Linked DNA regions of Ovis aries. The protein of the gene in region 2 purifies or fractionates together with the protein of the main gene of each other region. This does not show direct contact. Links are inferred from orthologs where the notes say so. Each region holds a gene or a part of one and is shown on either strand. Other genes may lie near its edges.

Region 1 (9,269 bases), on a different chromosome or scaffold from region 2:
GCCCTACTGACTTCTACTTACACACCTTGAAAACACCCTACGTTTTTATGAAACACACCTGTCATTCTAGTCAACAATCTCACTTCAAAGACTCTATCATTGATCCTCATAGAAATATTTGTTTTTAGACTCAAAGGTAAGGAAGAAGACACATAACCTGTCTCCAAATGTAAAAGGCTGAAAACGGCCTAGATAAATTCCCATCAGTCAGGAAATAGTTGAATGACTGCAGTATATCTGCATTTTGGCACACAATACCGTTGTTAAAACCAATGTGTCAGATCTATTCGTACAAATATGGGAAGGTTATGATACACTGTTGAGTAAAAAAAAAAAATTAAGGCACAGAATCACTTTTAGTAGCCTTATAAAATGTATTTATTATTTTTATGTAAAAAAGTCTCCATAAATATATGCATCTATATATTTTTTATAACTCAAAGAAAATGACCTAAAAGGATAAACTATCAACTCTGGTGAGAAGAGTAGGAATAAAAAGGAAGAGTAATAGTAATTTTCCCATTTTCATTCTATTTGCTTATGGATTGTTTTAATTTTATGAGTACCTGTTATTTTTATAATTAAAAAAATGAAAGAGGCAAAAAGTATCTGACAGAAAGAAAGGGGCCCTCACCTGTTCTGGGCTCATGTACCGTAAAGTTCCCTTTTTACTTGTCCGCATTTCATCATTTTTCAGGTATGTGACAAGTCCAAAGTCTCCAATCTTGATGTGGTTCGCAGCTACTAAAAATATGTTACTTGGCTGCCGAAAAAAATATGTTATAAGTACTAATTTGACAGACTTTTATCACATATCCAATTCATACTTCATAACAGCTATTATAAAATTTACTTGTAAGGCATTTACCCTCTCCTAGGTAGCCCAAAACAGGAAACTTATTAATATCAGTCTTTAAAATGCTAGCTGAGGAAGTCAGGACATTTTAGCCGACAGCAGAGAAAGCTTGGGGCATAGCTGCCTCCAGGTAGCTGAAGTCAAAGATGGATTCACTCCTGCCTGGTCCCTGTGGGGTAGATCCAGGACTAGAGGATGGAAACGACCTCAAGACTTGCTTTTAATATATCCTGATACGACGTGGGTTTGGGTGAACTCCAGGAGTTGATGATGGACAGGGAGGCCTGGCGTGCTGCAATTCATGGGGTCACAAAGAGTCTGACACGACTGAGCGACTGAACTGAAGATAGTAACCATGTGGTCCAACAGATGGGAGTTAGAGTTCCCCATCCTACAAGGTATTCAAGACAGGGCTGGACACCCACTTGGTGGAAACACTGCAAACACAAGTCCAGCATTTGAAAGGGATTGAAGGAGACACCCTCAAGATCCTCTGCAATTCTGAGATTCTGAGAATGAGGCCATTCCCAGTAATGCTGCAGAACACCATGTGCAGAATTTTCCCTGGAAGCTTCCTTTATATTCATTTCCCTAGGCTTCTGACTTCTGAACAAACACAGCCCCTCTGTCTTTGAAGGCTACCAAGTTAACTGGAAGCTGATGCCTAGCACTGAAATATATTTTTCCACATAATTCTTTAAGCACAATGAAAAAAAAAAAAAGGAAGAAAAGAATGACAATTCCACAACTTTGTAGAAGGTATTGACTAATATTCTAAAGACCATGAAACCAGGAAGGTTGTTGATGAGGACTCTGCGCTTCCACTGCAGGGGGCCCAGGTTTGATCCCTGGTCATGGAATGAAGATCCCACAAGGTGTGGCAAAAAAAGGGGTACAAACTTTATCCAGGAGGCACAAGAATAAGTTGACCGAGGAGCCTGGGGCAATTGAGAAATTGAACCTCCTCAGCCTATAAGCCCTCTCTCCAGAAACCTTTGTGTCTCTCACCAGCATCTTTGGTCTAGTTCTTAAGGTAAATGCTGGCTGACTTTATAGAACAGGGGCTTTATTGAGTAAAGACCATTATCTGGCAAAGCCACCAGCAGCAGGTATTCTGCAAAGCATCACAAAATAACACACACACTTTTGTTTACATTTTCTCTTAGATGTGAAAAAGCAGTAACTGTATCAGTGAAGTTAGCAAGTTAAAAAAGATGAAAGAAGCCTCTGTAGTATTAAAGTCTGACCTTTGAGCACCTGCAGACAAAGAGCAAACACTCTCTACAGACCCCAGAAAAGATGACTCCCTGACAAGAGGCACAAGCAGGGCAGATACAGGAGGGAACTGGTGGACCACGTGGTGGGAGGAGGGAGCGCTACGCACTTTCATTAACTCATCCTGATGAGGGCCTGGGAGGAAATACCCAAACCTCTGAGTAGAGGAGATGACTGTGTAAGTAGATCATTTATTTGCAAATGATTGTATAAAGAGATAATTGTGCTTAATTTCTTATTTAACTCTATATGATTCATTTCAAAGTGAAGGTACAGCCATTCTAAATGTATTCTTTTGAACGGAGTCCGTATATCCTTCCAACTTCAAAGAATACCTTCAGATACTGTTATTAGCAAAATGAGATATTGGAACCAGAGGCACCCCAATATGAAGGCATCAGACATCCAGCCCCTGAGAAGACCAAGGATGCAATACCTCTTAAGGGCCATCTTTTCCTACCAAGGCCAACAAACAACTATGCACATGGCTGCTTATTTTTCTCAAGGAACATTTTTCTTTGTGTCTCCTTCCTGGCTGTTTTAGACATGTGGGATAAGCCCAAGGTCCATATAGACAAGGTGCTTCTGTCTGATCCAGAAGGACCAGGAAAAGCTCATAAAGAAATTAAGACCAAAGGGGACAGGTAGAAGAGTGTCTCATGTGAGCACATGAGCAAAGTTTTGGTGATAGGATTCAGCATGGGAGGTTTTCGATGACTGTACCCAAATCACAGGGAACAGAGCAGAGTGCCGAGGGAAGACTGAAAAGCTCTTCTGTCTGATTTTGAGGAGGAAGTGGGAAAACTGCTCATCTAGACCGTGAAAGAAACTGGGAAGCCAGAAGAAAATGAAAATACAAAAGTATACTGCATGTTCCAAGGTTTGCATTGCTGCAGTTTTCCAATCATGGGGCAGAGAGGTCTCACCAAGTGCCAAGCAAATTCTAGACTCTGGACTTAGTGGCTGTGACTGCTGTCAAGAATAATGACTTAAAAGGTTAAGAGATTTGTGTATCCAAAGCCAGAGTCACCAGAGTCTCTTCTGCCTCTCAGACAAGCCTGGGAAGCAGGAGAGGCAGAGACAGAACACTCAACTGGATGTTCCAGGCATGAGAATTATGTGCACAGAAATGTCCAGCATACTAACGCTGTTAGTGTTTACAACCGGGGTGAAGGTATCAGCCAGGAAGACAAACAGGACCAGAAGTGAATGGGCAATGAGCTGCTTCTTGCAGAGCACAGCGTCTCAGTAAGTTTACAGCCCTGGCAACCTCCTGATTGATTCTACAGATTGGTACCTGGGGCAAGTGCTATATCCACTCTAACTTTACAGGATCAGAGATGTTATTTCCTCATGACTGTCGATCAATTCTAAAATTAAAGAAGACAGACTTTCACATTAATAAACTCTATTGATCAATTCCCAATACAGCACATTTTCCACTCACCTTAAGGTCTCTGTGAATTAACTGTTCTGAATGTATATAATGCACTCCTATTGTTATTTGTTGAAAGAATTCCAAAGCCAAACGTTTGTCTGGATCCTTGCCTCTTCTTTCGTCAATCCATTCCGCCAATGTACCTTTATCACAATATTCCATTTGGATGAAAAGGCACTTAGTCTTTGATCTGGGATAAAATTCACTGTAGAAGTAGCAATAAAAATAAATTTATTAAAAAATACACTTAAACATTAGATTTAAAAAATGACACCTTCTTAAAAATGCCAAACGTCTCAAAACAGAAATCTAAATATAACAAATGTGAGTCAATACATAATAAACCACTCTTTATTTAGGTCATAAGTTCCCAAATATCAAAGCATTGTTTAGCTAAGTTGTAAAGTAGCAGCCTTCCCATTCTTTAACGCTGAAGGTCCTTGACTATCTTTGCTAATAGATAGGAAGGGACACAAAAATATGACGGAATTGCAGAAAACCAAATTTCATTATTATATATTGTAATTTTGAAACATTTTAATTCACCATTGCTCTACTGAGCATCTATTTTGCAAAAGACACGGAACAGGCACCTACAGATAAGAAAATGAGTTAGACACTAGCCTTGCTCTCATGAGGATTATAGTTTGATGGGAGAGAGATAAAGGAAAAACAAGCAGAAAACAATAGTACAGCAGGCCCCAACCCCTGGGATCTAATGCCTGATGATCTGAAGTGGAGGTTATATAATAATAACAGAAATAACACAAAAAATGTAATATGCTTGAATCATCCCCAAACCATCCCCTCTCCCTGGCCCATGGAAAAATTGTCTTCCATGAAACCAGTCCCTGGCACCAAAAAGGTTAGGGGCTGCTGCAGTAGTGCATGGACAGGAGCTCTAAGAGAAATGCCAAAAGTTGTTATGAGGCATAGCAATGAGGCAGGGCTTCCCGGGTGGCGCTAGTGACAAAGCATCTGCCTGCCAGTGCAGGAGACTCAAGAGACGTGAGTTTGATGCCTGGGTTGGCAAAATCCTGTGGAGTAGGAAATGGCAACCCACTCCAGTTTGCTTGTCTGGAAAATCCCACGAACAGAGGAGCCTGGTGGGCTACAGTCCATGGGGTCACAAAGAGTTGGATATGACTGACCGAGTAAGCACACAGCACACAGCAAGGAGGACCGATTTCGCTAATCATGGTAGTTGTTCTTTTCTGAACTAAGTTGGCTTTAATATTAATTTAAATTCTTTGAGCATATGTTGGCTAGAAAATAAAAAAAGGTAGCCAGGAATTTTCTAAAAGCTGAAGAAATCCATATGCAGATGGTACTTCTGAAACTAATGATACAGTTCTAAATTACATGGTGTGGAGACAGGGCTGGAGCCAGGAGATGGTGAATGAACAGGCTCACCACGACCTCAGGTTTGCACTGAAAGAACTGTCTCCAAGGAACACTGGGTAACTTTCAAAGGGAGGCTCTTTATAACCCTTCAGTCCTTTTGCAGTGGCTTGCCAGAGACAAACATGAGTAATGCAAGGGCCGGGGGGTACCCCCACCACCGCTCAGGGTCTTGGAATTATTTAGACTGCCCATCACCTCACCATGAGTGGTGTGATCACACACAGAAGGGATCCCATGACTGCACCCTGCCAACCAGCTGAGCGGAGCAGAAGAGCGTTAGCAGTGGGGGGAGGGCGGCCTCCAGGTGCACCGTCTACACGTGCAAACCTTCTTCACAAGACTGCATTTACCACCTGGACTGGAGTCAGGGCACGTGAGAAAGTCTGTACTTTAAACTTCAGAGTCAAGAAACCTAAGCCTGAGATTTCAAAAACCACAGAAAGTGTTAGTCACTCAGTTGTGTGACTCTTTGCAACCCCCATGGACTGTAGTCCACGAGGTTCCTCTGTCAGTGAAATTCTCCAGGCAAGAATTTACTGGAGTGGGTTGCCATTTGCTTCTTTAGGGGATCTTCCCAACCCAGGGATCAAACGCAGGTCCCCCACACTGCAGGCAGATTCTCTGCCATCTGACTCACCAGGGAAGCCACAGAGGACAGTTTTTTAAAAAAAAAAAAACACATATTTTTTAAAGCAAATCTGCAGCAAAGAAAAGATTATTCATTGTCTCCTCATTTGCAGAATGGAGGCATGACAGTGTCTCAGAGTTTCTGGTTATGATTATTAAATGTAACAATTAGTGGCCTTATCCACTGACCCACACACAGTAAACAAGTTTCGCTCCTCCTATTAAGACTATGAGAGTTTATTTTTAGTTACCTTGAAGAATTTAAGCTTTCCTCAGGATCATAATCAACCCCGTCCCAGCAACTGTGGTAGTGAACAATATTTGGATGATTAAGTTTTGCCAAAACTTTCACTTCACGCTCTACCTTCCTAGTTAAAAGAAACAGGGAACATAAAGGCGTCAGTATCCATCCCTGATAATAACAAAACACCTTGAGCAATAGGAGGCAATCACCAATATACCCTTATTAAACAGCTACCACGGTTCCCACACTGAGGTTTAGAATGGAAGCCAGCACCTCTCAAAAGGAAAGAGGGAACACAGAAAAAAATCAGCTGTTTTCACTCTCAACATAAGAAAAAAAAAACAGTGATTAAAATTATTTCAAACCTCAGACAATCTAGAAGTCATAGGTAGTACTCTTGTGAGCTATCAGTGATGTAAAATTTTTTTGGATCTAAAATAAAAATCACCCATTATGTTTTATGTAGAGTTGTGTTAAAATCACTTTGGATTTCAAAAGCAAACCACATTTGGGCAGCAGGGGTAGGTAATCCAAGCAGCATGAAGAACCTAATTCAAAATTTTCAGTGCGTGGCAAAAATACACACAGAGGGTGATCTAGGCAGAGAAACTGAAATTTCACTGCACAATGTGGGAGCTTTGCAGGGATGCATACGTAAGAATTATGACAGTCCTATGCTAGTCAAAGCTATGGTTTTCCCAGTGGTCGTGTATGGATGTGAGAGTTGGACTGTGAAGAAGGCTGAGCGCCGAAGAATTGATGCTTTTGAACTGTGGTGTTGGAGAAGACTCTTGAGAGTCCATTGGACTGCAAGGAGATCCAACCAGTCCATTCTGAAGGAGATCAACCCTAGGATTTCTTTGGAAGGAATGATGCTAAAGCTGAAACTCCAATACTCTGACCACCTCATGCGAAGAGTTGACTCATTGGAAAAGACTTTGATGCTGGGAGGGATTGGGGGCAGGAGGAGAAGGGGACGACAGAGGATGAGATGGCTGGATGGCATCACGGACCCAATGGACGTGAGTCTGAGTGAACTCCGGGAGTTGGTGATGGACAGGGAGGCATGGCGTGCTGCGATTCATGGGGTCACAAAGAGTTGGACACGACTGAGCGACTGAACTGAACTGATGCTAAGTGGAGTACATAAATTTGAGATTTCAAGGATAAGAAAGGATAAGCAAACATTTTGCAACTTACTTTTTGAATCTGAAAAGTTCTATATGATGTAAAATTTGTAAAAATAGATAAAAAATTACTCATATATTAACACAATCCTAACACACTTGAGTTTAGGTGATTTCTTATAGTCTTTCTTCATATACATATTTACATATGTATAATTATAGTGTATATATTTATCTAATATTTTCTCATATATTATCTTTAAATTTTTCCCTATTACTATACAATCTGCCTAACCATCATGTATAAACATTTTAATGTAAAATTTCAAAAGTATTAAAAAGTAGAGCAAATAGTAGAATGAACCCCTAACTGGCCATCAGATGAAACAGTAATTAACTCCTGGCCAGTCTTATTTCCTGTATACTCTTACCTACTTCCTCATCTTTCCCTGGATTATTCCGAAGCAACTTCTAGCATTGTACCATTCACAGTGTGTATAAATATTTACAGTATACAACCCTCACTTTTAATGACCGCAAAACAGTCATTGATCAGAGGAGAGCACAAAACATACTAAATCATTCCTTTATTGCTGAACATTCTGTTTGCTCTAATTTCTCACTGTTATAAATGACATTGTTATTTTTATCTACTTGAATAACTTTTCTTGTAATCTGGGTAATATCCTTGGAATAGGTTCCCAATAGGAAATCCATAGGTCAAAGCATATAAATTTTTTTATGCTTCTCGATGCATATCTCCAAGTGTATTTTTAACTATGCTTTTGAACTATGGTGTTGGAGAAGACTCTTGAGAGTCCCTTGGACTGCAAGAAGACCCAACCAGTCCATTCTAAAGTAGATCAGCCCTGGGATTTCTTTGGAGGGAGTGATGCTAAAGCTGAAACTCCAGTACTTTGGCCACCTCACGCGAAGAGTTGACCCATTGGAAAAGACTCTGATGCTGGGAGGGAATGGGGGCAGGAGGAAAAGGGGATGACAGAGGATGAGATGGCTGGATGGCATCACTGACTCGATGGACGCGAGTTTGAGTGAACTCCAGGCGTTGGTGATGGACAGGGAGGCCTGGCGTGCTGCGATTCAGGGGGTTGCAAAGAGTCGGACACAACTGAGCGACTGAACTGAACTGAATCTATGAAGCCACAAGAAATGTTCAAGGTATTGCACCCTTATCATCATTAAGGATTACCGTTAAAAAAATGTTATGGGATAGAAGGAATAGCAGTATTCCTGGTAAGCAAAACAATGAAGAAGGAAAAAGCCTTGTTTTGATGCCAAGTAGTATGAAGTTATTTCAACCGCAAGGCTTTGTCCATGGGACAAACAATACGTTGGTTTGACTGGATGAAGAGCATCTAAGACGCCACACCTGCTTCTTCTTTTCTTATGTCATTTTCCTTCACTTATATCCGTTTTCCATCTCCTCTGATCCTTGAGGGATCTGTCTGGCCATATTACAAATAATAACAGCTGCCAGAAAATAACAGGCAGGATCAGCGAACATGGGGTTTCAGAGCTCCTTCCTCTGTGTCTTCCTTCCTAAAGTTCTGTTATCCAATAATTGGGGTGGGGTTGGGGAGGGGCACAAATAAGACATAAAATAAAGATGGGAAGCATTGGGTAATGGTGGGAACACAGTAGATTGGAATTCCAGAGGATAAGTTCTAAATCTCTACCTTATTACCATAGGAGATAGGCCCCAAGGATGGTCATCATTAATATCTTCTCTCCCCACGCTCGCATCCACTCCTCAGATTAAGCAGTAAGAGTCTATTTGCCCTCTCCCTCGAGCTGACCATAGTGATTTTGTTTAATCAATATGATGCGGAACTTCCAAGACTGCTCCCTTCTGGGATGAGTTGCTCTGGGACAGTCCTTCTTAGAACCCAACAACTAAGCTGTGAAATGCCCAGGCCACATAAAGGGGCCAGGTGGAGGCGCCCTGGTTAACAGCGCCAGCTGCACTTGTAGCCACAGCCAGCATCACTGCCAGCCATGTGAGAGCCATCTCCGCTGTCCAGCCAAGCCAAGCTTTCAGATGACCCCTGGCTGCAAATGCATGATGAATGACCCGGGTGAGCATCGTCAACTCACAGGACCACAAGAGATAATAACAATTTGGTGTTTAAGCCACTGCATTTTGGAGTGGTGTATTACGCAATAATAGACAACCAGCACAATTATCAACTAGCTTTTACCTTTGGCAAATCAGTTCACATCTTTGAATCTCACTCTCCTCCTCTGTAATATAAGGAGATGAGACTAGAAAAACTCAAA
Region 2 (9,269 bases):
TCTAAAACTTCATAAAGAAAATACAGAAGAAATTTTTCTGGTTTGGTTAGGTAATGATTTCTCAGACACAACGCCAAAATCACATTCAGCAGTAATAATAATAATAACAACAATAAACCAGTAAGGATAATCTTATCCAGAAAACTTTTATCTCCAACAGCAGAAAACCTTCTCTGAGGCCTTACCTGGTAGAAGAGAATTACATTAAAATTGAGAATACAAATTCAAAGACACCATCAGGTAGTCTTACATTTTAACAAGGCAACTCTGTAGAGTAAATTAAAATCCAAAAGGAGTTCACAACCAACCAGTTTGAAACTGGCACTGGCATCAGACGTGACTGGACCGGAAACCTGACTCTACTCTGTGATCTGAGGGAAGTTTCTTAAACACCAAGAACCTCATCTTTAAAATGAGGATAATATCTACATCTCAGAGTGATTAAGAGGTTCAAATGAGACAACGTGATAGCTTCCTTATTCTAAATAAAATCAAGGTAAATCATCAACAGATACATCTTCTGTTTCTATTGCATTATAAGGAATGGTAGAACCTAGATGTAAAAGATTTAAGGAAGTGACTAAAACAGTGAAAACCAAGATACTATCTAAGGTGATCCACTTACTGGCCCATTATAAGGTCTGATCATACTCAAAATTAACCTAGATTTCAACTCACTGTATCCATGTTGCTTTCTCAAAATAACCTTACATTTCAGAGAATATCTATAGACTTTAACATAAGACAGATATGATACAAGTAATTCCAAGTGTGATGTATGTGAGGAAAAATGCAGGGGCCTAAATGAATGTGGGTGTTCTCTGGAAGGAATGATGCTAAAGCTGAAACTCCAGTACTTTCGCCACCTCATGCGAAGAGTTGACTCATTGGAAAAGACTCTGATGCTGGGAGGGATTGGGGGCAGGAGGAAAAGGGGATGACAGAGGATGAGATGGCTGGATGGCATCACTGACTCGATGGACGTGAGTCTGAGTGAACTCCGGGAGTTGGTGATGGACAGGGAGGCCTGGCGTGCTGCGATTCATGGGGTTGCAAAGAGTCAGACACAACTGAGTGACTGAACTGAACTGAAACGAATGTGGGAGTCAGGGAGAACCAGAGAAGGCTTCCCTGAGGAAGTTGAGTGTAAGCTGAGATCTGAATGGTGGACAAGAAGAAAGTTCTGCGGGAGAGGGAGAGGGTGGGATGATTTGGGAGAATGGCATTGAAACATGTATACGATCATGTAAGAAACAAATCGCCAGTCTATGTCCGATGCAGGATACAGGATGCTTGGGGCTGGTGCACGGGGATGACCCAGAGAGATGTTATGGGGAGGAAGGTGGGAGGGGGGTTCATGTTTGGGAATGCATGTACACCAGTGGTGGATTCATGTCAATGTATGGCAAAACCAATACAGTATTGTAAAGAAAAATAAAGTAAAAATAAAAATTTTTTAAAAATGCATATATAATAGAGGTAGTAGCAAAAAATCATTTTTAAAGTTCAAAATGTTTCTCCGCTCTTTCAGAAATAACATTTCAACAATATTCTTGCTTTTAATGGCTATAGTTAAAAGTAACCGGAGTTATATTTATAGTCTACTATAAAAATGATAGATCTTTTTTTAGACTAAAGGCTGGTTATTCTTAATTTGAGATTAGATTTAGTTTAATAGATTAGGTGCAAGTTAATGTGAATAGTTTTGCAGTAATGTAGAGCACTGTTCTTCCACTATGGAGAAGCTGTATGTAGATTTTATATACAAAAGAATTTAGGAAAACAGACCATGGAGACATTCATCTACATATAAAATGTGGACAGAATGAGATACAAAATAACAAAAGCTAGTATTTATTGAATGGGTTTCCCAGGTGGCTCTGTAGTAAAGAATCCACCTGCCAAGCAGGAGTCGTGGGTTCAATCCCTAGGTTGGGAAGGTGGCCTGGAGGAGGAAATGGCAACTCACTCTAGTATTCTTGCCCAGGAAATCCCATGGACAGAGGAGTCTGGCAAGCTACAGTCCATGGGGTCACAAAGAGTCAGACATAGCTTACCAACTAAACAAGCAACAAATATTTATTGAGTACTTACTATTCGTACTGTTAATACATATTTAATAATAATAACTAATGCATTCTATGTATCATCTTGAGTAACATGTAACAATCTTGTGATGTAAGTTCAATTATTATTCATCTCATTCCTCTGAACTATGCCTTAATTTTTTTTTGATTAATGTACCCAAAATCTGATTCCATAAAAGAGAATCACAACATCCTGAAAAGCCGTGTGGCTCTACATTCTTCTCTGAAAAGGCACTCATGCCTGAGAGGACAGAAACCAGGCCATCCCATGACCTCCGAGGTGTGCTCAGTCTCTCAGTCGTCTCCAACTCTGCGACCCTATGGACTGTGGCCCGCCAGGCTCCTCTGTCCATGGGGATTCTCCAGACAAGAACACTGGAGTGGGTTGCCATGCCCTCCTCCAGGGCATCTTCCCAACCCTGAAATCAAACCAGGTCTCCTGCACTGCAGGATTCTTTACCGACTGCGCTAACAGGGAAGCCCGAGGGCTGCTATGTGGATTAAATGTGATTCAGCACATGAAGCACTGGAGCCCCGTCTGGCACACCAAGTGCTTTATACTTGCGGTCTGCTGCCGCGGCTGCTGTCATTAGCGTGAGTGTTACTCATGCAATTATCACTCTGCGTCCTATCACCACGGCCTAAAATCTTGGGACGTTACCACACAGCAGTGTGGACTGCACAAAGAACGCTGGATTATGGATCAGTAGCTCAGGGTGCCACACGTGATCGGTGAACACAAGCAAGCAAATTCTTTGAACGTGTTTCATAAAACCTTATTTGTAAAATGAGGGGCAACATGTACATTCATCATGATAAGAATTTTACCAAAGGTGTTCATGACTGAGAAAGTATTTTTTAAACATAAAAAACTATAAATATGCAAGGTATTATTATTTCATGAATGAACCCAAGTATACAAGTGTCTAAAAGCAAAACAGAATTACTATTCACTTACAGACACATGTCCGACCCGGATTCTGCTTATAACTCACAGGCTTAGGAGCCTGTCCTACGGAAAAACATTAACTAGAGTTACCAGGGGAAGATCCCCTGGAGGAGAGTATGGCAATCCACTCCGGTATTCTTGCCTGGAGAATCCCATGGACCAAGGAGCCTGGTGGGCTATGGTCCATAGGGTTGCAAAGAGTTGGATACAACTGAAGCGACTTAGCATGCATGCACTATAATAAATATATATATTATATATATATAGTATAACATTCACAAGCATACACTTACCTTTACTATTGTTTTAGGGCGTTTTTTAAAAAATAGTTTTGGCTTTTCAACCACAGGCAGAGGTGGAAGTTTCTTAAGCTCCTGTAGCACAGTGGTTGCAGCGCGCTTCTTGGAGAGTTTTTTGCTATTTCCCTCTCCTTCAGCGGAGAACTCTCCCACTGACACACGGGTCACAAAGCTTTTCATGTGTGGTGGTCCACTTTCTTTAATAACCTATTAAATATAAGTAAAAGATTCAATACAGGGACTTAAGATGGGTTTTTATGGCATGAATCTTTCTTAATGATCATATAAAAATCAAAATTGAAATTATTAAGAATTATGCCAAAATTATGGATTTCTTCTATAAAACTATTATGAACTCATTATACAGAGACTCATACTTATGATGCTTAATGAATTACATTGGAAAAAACAGAAATCTAAATAAACATATTAAGTCATGGTCAAAACTGTGTTTTACTAGCTTAAAAAAGGCAATTCTAATTATGGTTACCCTGTTTCTTATGGGACAGAAAATAAGGATAATAAAAGATAATAAAACATACCATTACTGCATACATATCTAACTTTCTCCTCTGTGTGAATAAGTTACTGGAGTACAAGAAGTATGTCTCACTGGAGTTCTATAAATTATGAAGCATCTTCCATGTGGAAGCCTCTCACAAACAGGTGATAGATGAAAAATCATCTATTTTTGATGGAGACCTCAAAGGCTGTCTTACAATAAGGAATATTTACTCTCTGTGACATGGTCTTAAATAGGTAAGTAAATTTGCCATAAAAATACCTCGCTTTCTAGAGTAATGGATTATGAATCTGTCAGCTATGAATGCTCCTAAATCCTGTATTTAACAAGCTCTTTTTAAACTATGCCAATTTTGGGAAGCAAAATGCCTTCCAAGACCTGAGTGCTCAAAACTTCATTGTGTCTGTCAAAGCCTGACCTATTAAAAAAATACCCTATTTAAACAGTTTACCATTGACTATTATATTAAAATTTTATCTTCTAATACTGGATACCAATGAAGAAAAGATACAGTATCTCAATAATCCAGTATTATTGAGGATAAACTAATTTATGATAAGCTTACTTTCCAAGTAATTTAAGCTTACAGATTGAAACGCCAAAACTGTTTAACCACTTTGATAGACATCTTTCTCAAAAAATATACATATATATTTTACTGACTAAATATTCAGCCTCTTACTGCTCACATTAGATCACCATTATGAACATGAAATATTCTACACTAAGGACATCTAAGGCCTCTAAGGACATCTAACTTTTAAAACTGTTCCTGTTCGCCTAGCATTTAAAAGGCCCCATCTTCCAAAGACTTTCAAGTTAAATGCAGTTACTTTTGATAGGTTTTCCATATTTTCCCTATCATTTCTCGCTGGGACCAATAGGCCCTCAGGTACATTCTCTTCCTGCCTTCTTCATTCTGCTGCCTTTAATCTGCTATGGGCTGAGAAATCAGGTAACAACACAACTTGTAACAGAATTATGTTTAAGAAAGAAAACAGGCTCTCAGTTGAGGTGAGTAGATCCTGCCAGTGAGTAAAGCATGAGTTTTCCAATAGGTGAACAAAACATAATTTGAGGGAAAATATTCCTCAATTGTTTCAGCTTATTCCTGGGTTTTGCCTATTTCCTAAATACTTGAGTTGCAAAATTAGTGACCTCTTAATAAAGGAGGTGTTATAACAATTTAGTATTATTTCTTTTTTAAATGCCACATAATTTTACAAATATTTTATGACATATTTATCCAGTTTTAAACTAGAGAACTGCTTAATTATGTCTTAGTGACTTATCAGTAATGGTTAAATGTAAAGTTAAAAGGTAAAATTTCTATTTTGGCCTCCATAAATTTAAAAGAAATTAAATATTAATATATACATGTGACTAAATGTTAATTATATATTGAATATTTTCAATGTGACCTTATCAAAATGCCAAATCTTATAGGTGACTATAAATTATCTTAAATTTGGAAAATAAATTTTATGATGAAACAAATGGCTGAATACAGAAAAGCCAAAGAGATTGGGAGGACTCCATGATATTGCAAGCTCTGATTTCTTAGGGCCTGCATCATTCCATGATAGCTCAAACAGAGGGAGCACATTGATTCTTTCAGGATGCTAAAATTTTATTTGTCAGATTTGTTTTGTTTGTTTGTTTAAAACAATGAGGAGCAAGGAGGGAAAAAAAATGGGAGATCTCTGCTGAATACATACCTCAAAACTGACGGGCATATTTCTCTTCAGAGCAATTTCAAACACTAAGCTGATCTCAGACTTATTTGCATCTTTGTCATCATCCATTTCTTTTCCTGATTCGCAATTCTAAATCACAAAAAAAAAATAGGACAACACTGAATCTTCACTTTGTAACAAGCTTTACATGTACTAAACAATCAAGAGAACCTATCTTACACATCACAGGAAACCAGACTGGATCCTGTGGATTTCCATGGGACCACCGCAGTCAAGGGCTTTGCTGAGAGGCTTCTTGTGATTTGGTTTTAAGTTTTTTCCCTCAGAGTAGAAGGATAAATGCTGAGTGTGGAAACCTTTTACTCAAATAAACACTAATCTGATGTAGATATCCCCAGACTTAGTTTTCTTTACAGACCTCCATCTCTCTCTCTCTCTCTCTCACACACACACACACACACAGTATCTCCACCAGCATGTGATATTTAATCTTCTATGAAGACTAAGTTGCAGAAAGAGTATAGGGTGCAAACCAGAATGCTGGAGCTCTGCGTCTGGCTCTGACCTATTTAACACTTACTTCTGGAGCCTTATACATGCTGAACACCAGGTAAGCCTTAGAGAGATCAAGAGACAGTATTCTTGCTGTCAAGAAGCTTAGCACTTAGTGGAAAGACTGCGAAGCAAACGTTAAGAGTCATGATGAGAGTGCACAAGGACAAAAATACTAAGTCTGCCATTAACTAAGATAAATCTCAAAGCGGGAGGGACAACAGGCTTGAGGAAGGGCAAACTAAAGGCTGGACCTAGCTTCAAATAACGAAGTGGAGAACTCAATAAGAAGGGGACTTATTAGACACTCCTGAACTAAAGACACCATTTTGAAGTCAACAGAGAAAGCAGCTGAAACCATGGGAATGAGTGAAGTTACTGTATATCTGCTTCGAATAACCTCACTGGTAAAATAAAGTAGGACTAAAAAAATCCATAAATATCTCCTCCACTTTAAACTCCTTGATTCTAGGTGAATTAACACAATGTAACTCATGCTCAATAAAACACAGCACTCAATGCAAAGTAAACGAATGTTATTTCTCATCCTTGCTCACATTCCCAAATCCTGCCTTGCCTGGGAAGTGGACTCCCTAGGCTGAGCCAAAGTGCTCGAAGGCAAGGCCATCCCAACAAGACACAGAGTCTAACCGAGCACACAGGTGAGCTGAGGTGCCACCACAGCCAATCCAGTGTTCCCTTCTACCAGCAGAGACTTCCTCTATTCGTAAAGAAGCGCTTCTTTGTCTTCTCAGTAATCTCCCTGGGCAGCTATTAGAGATAGACTGCCACACACTGCAGGGACCCACCTGAGCTGATTTTTCTGGAATAGGTTCATTCTGCAGTGCTTGAAGGGCTTTCATCGCGGCATTGTGTCTAGCGGCTTGTCGAGTCTTCCCTTCCCCAAAAAATTCATTATTTCCTACAGTCAGCTGAACGTAAAAGATCTTGGGCACTGGGCAATGATACCTAAAGTAAGAAAATGAAAATGTTAATATAAGTTCAATAAAAATCACTGTAATCATTAGTAAAATTTGTTTTGTTTAAAATGTAAATAGGAAGGTATAATCCACTATGTGCATGTGTGCTAAGGCACTCCAGTCATGTCCGACTTTTGTGACCCCATGGACTGTAGCACGCCAGGCTCCTCTATCCATGGGGATTCTCCAGGCAAGAACACTGAAGTGAGTTTCCATGCTCTCCTCCAGGGGAGCTTCCCAGGGATCAGGCCCAAGTCTCTTATGTCCCCTGCACTGGCAGGTGGGTTTTTTACCACCAGTGCCACCTGGGAAGCCCAGATCCATTATAACCTCCTAGTAACCTCAGTAAAGTTTTACCTCACAAATGTATTTATAAAAGATAAAATGTGAGTCGGCATATATATCGATAATAAAGCATATATCTGGTCTCCATGAAAAATGTATTTTGGAAAACATTAAACACAACTTAATACTGTAAAAATTATTTCATTGTATCACAGAAGACCTCCTGGCAACACATTTTCAGTTATATTTTGACGGAAGTGAGCCAATGGTCTGGGGCTGAAAGATGGGGACCTGCCACAGAGGCAAGAAAACAGGCGAAACCATCCAGGTGACAATATGCAGACTGCCATGCTCTCAGCAGAAGGTAACCACGATTAGACATGGGAAGGGCAGACAGATGGAACCACTACTGTAAAGTAGTAAGTACTTTGCAAAGTACTAAGGAGAGCAGATTCAACATAAGAAAGAATGGGGAGTTTCAGCCAATTGTAAAGCAGAACGAACCATAATAAAATGTATTTAAAGTGAAAACTTTTAGCAGGTTTGTGTTTAATGGGACTGAGAGGAAGCATAATTAGAAAGCTGCAATGATGCCAACATGAGGGGAGATTGTAAGGGGGTTGTAAGAAGAGAGTACAAACAAAAGAAATTAAGAGGCTATGCAATATAATCTATTAATTTAACAATTATTTATGGGCACCTTCTTATGATGAGGGAATATTACAGCAAACAAAAACATACCTTACAGTGGAGAAGACAGACAATAAATAAAATAAATAGGTAGAATATCTAGGGATGTTAGAAATACACATTGTTTTTTAATATTTATTTAGTTGGCTGTGCCAGCTCTTAGTTGAGGCACACAGATCTAGTTCCCTGACCAGAGATGGAAGTTGGGCTCCCTGCATTGGGAGAATGGAGTCTTAGCCAGTGGATCATCACAGAAGTTCCATATACATTTTAAACAGAAAAAGAAGGGAAGGTTCAAAAGTGAATTTTTAAAAAATTGCATATATTAAGATTACAATAAAAACACAAGTGACACCATCTGAACAAAAGCAGTGATTTAATTCATTCACTGGTAATGGCAGTGAATGAAATAGTGAAAGTCTCTGGGGAGAATCAAGCAATTATCCAAGAGCTGTAGATCTGATTGCAATATGGTCTTCTGGTGTCGTTTGTACCTTTGGCGGCTTCCTCCTTTTTTGCCAACTACTCTTTTGAAGTCATTCATATTTGTTGCCTGGAGTCCCAATAAAAGTAAAATATGAAATTCTTGTTGTTTCTTCTTCCCTTGATTGGGCTGAGGGGTGAGGAAAAGAGGGGCAGATAGAGTGATCAGTGAGTGTCTCACTGAGAAGGTGACAATTTTGAAGAGCTCGAGCAAGTGAAGAAGGAAACCATACAGATATCCAGAACAGGGCTTATAAGGACTGAAAACACCAAGTGCAAAGGCTCTGAGGCAGCCGAGCATCAGGAATGTTGAAGCAATTCAGAGGATTCCCACCAGGTGAGAGTTGAGGGTGTAAAGGAAGGTAGGCTAAGAGCTGGAACTGGTGCTCAGATGTCATAGGGCGTTCCTTAGAAATCACTGCGAGGATCTGACTTCTACCCTGAGTGAAATGGCCAGCCACCAGAAGGCTTTAAGGAGAGAAGTGACATAATCGACTTAGACCTTGGAAAGATCATCTGCGATGTTGAAAACAGACTGTAGAGGAACAATGGCAGACACAGGATATCTGTAAAGAACTACTGCAATAATACAGGGGCCTGAACTAGGGTGACAGCAAGGGAAGTAATGGCAAGCACTTGGATTCTGGACAAATTTCAGAAGTAGAGAAGATGGGTTTACCGAAGCACTGGGTATGGAATATGAGAGAGGAGTCGAGGAAGACGC

What was found.
Region 1: the proteins of STAU2 (region 2) and EIF2AK2 purify together in Homo sapiens (affinity purification with mass spectrometry; 3 studies listed by BioGRID and IntAct, with this or other methods). This does not show direct contact. The link is inferred for Ovis aries from reciprocal best matches to the Homo sapiens genes STAU2 and EIF2AK2.

Annotation. Positions count from the first base shown.
Region 1 is NC_056056.1:86,933,231-86,942,499, reverse strand, and holds part of EIF2AK2 (interferon-induced, double-stranded RNA-activated protein kinase), read right to left. Parts: intron 5,969-9,269; coding exon 5,852-5,968; intron 3,775-5,851; coding exon 3,579-3,774; intron 764-3,578; coding exon 635-763; intron 1-634.
Region 2 is NC_056062.1:49,919,874-49,929,142, forward strand, and holds part of STAU2 (double-stranded RNA-binding protein Staufen homolog 2), read right to left. Parts: intron 7,077-9,269; coding exon 6,917-7,076; intron 5,685-6,916; coding exon 5,577-5,684; intron 3,543-5,576; coding exon 3,330-3,542; intron 1-3,329. UniProt on the Homo sapiens protein: RNA-binding protein required for the microtubule-dependent transport of neuronal RNA from the cell body to the dendrite.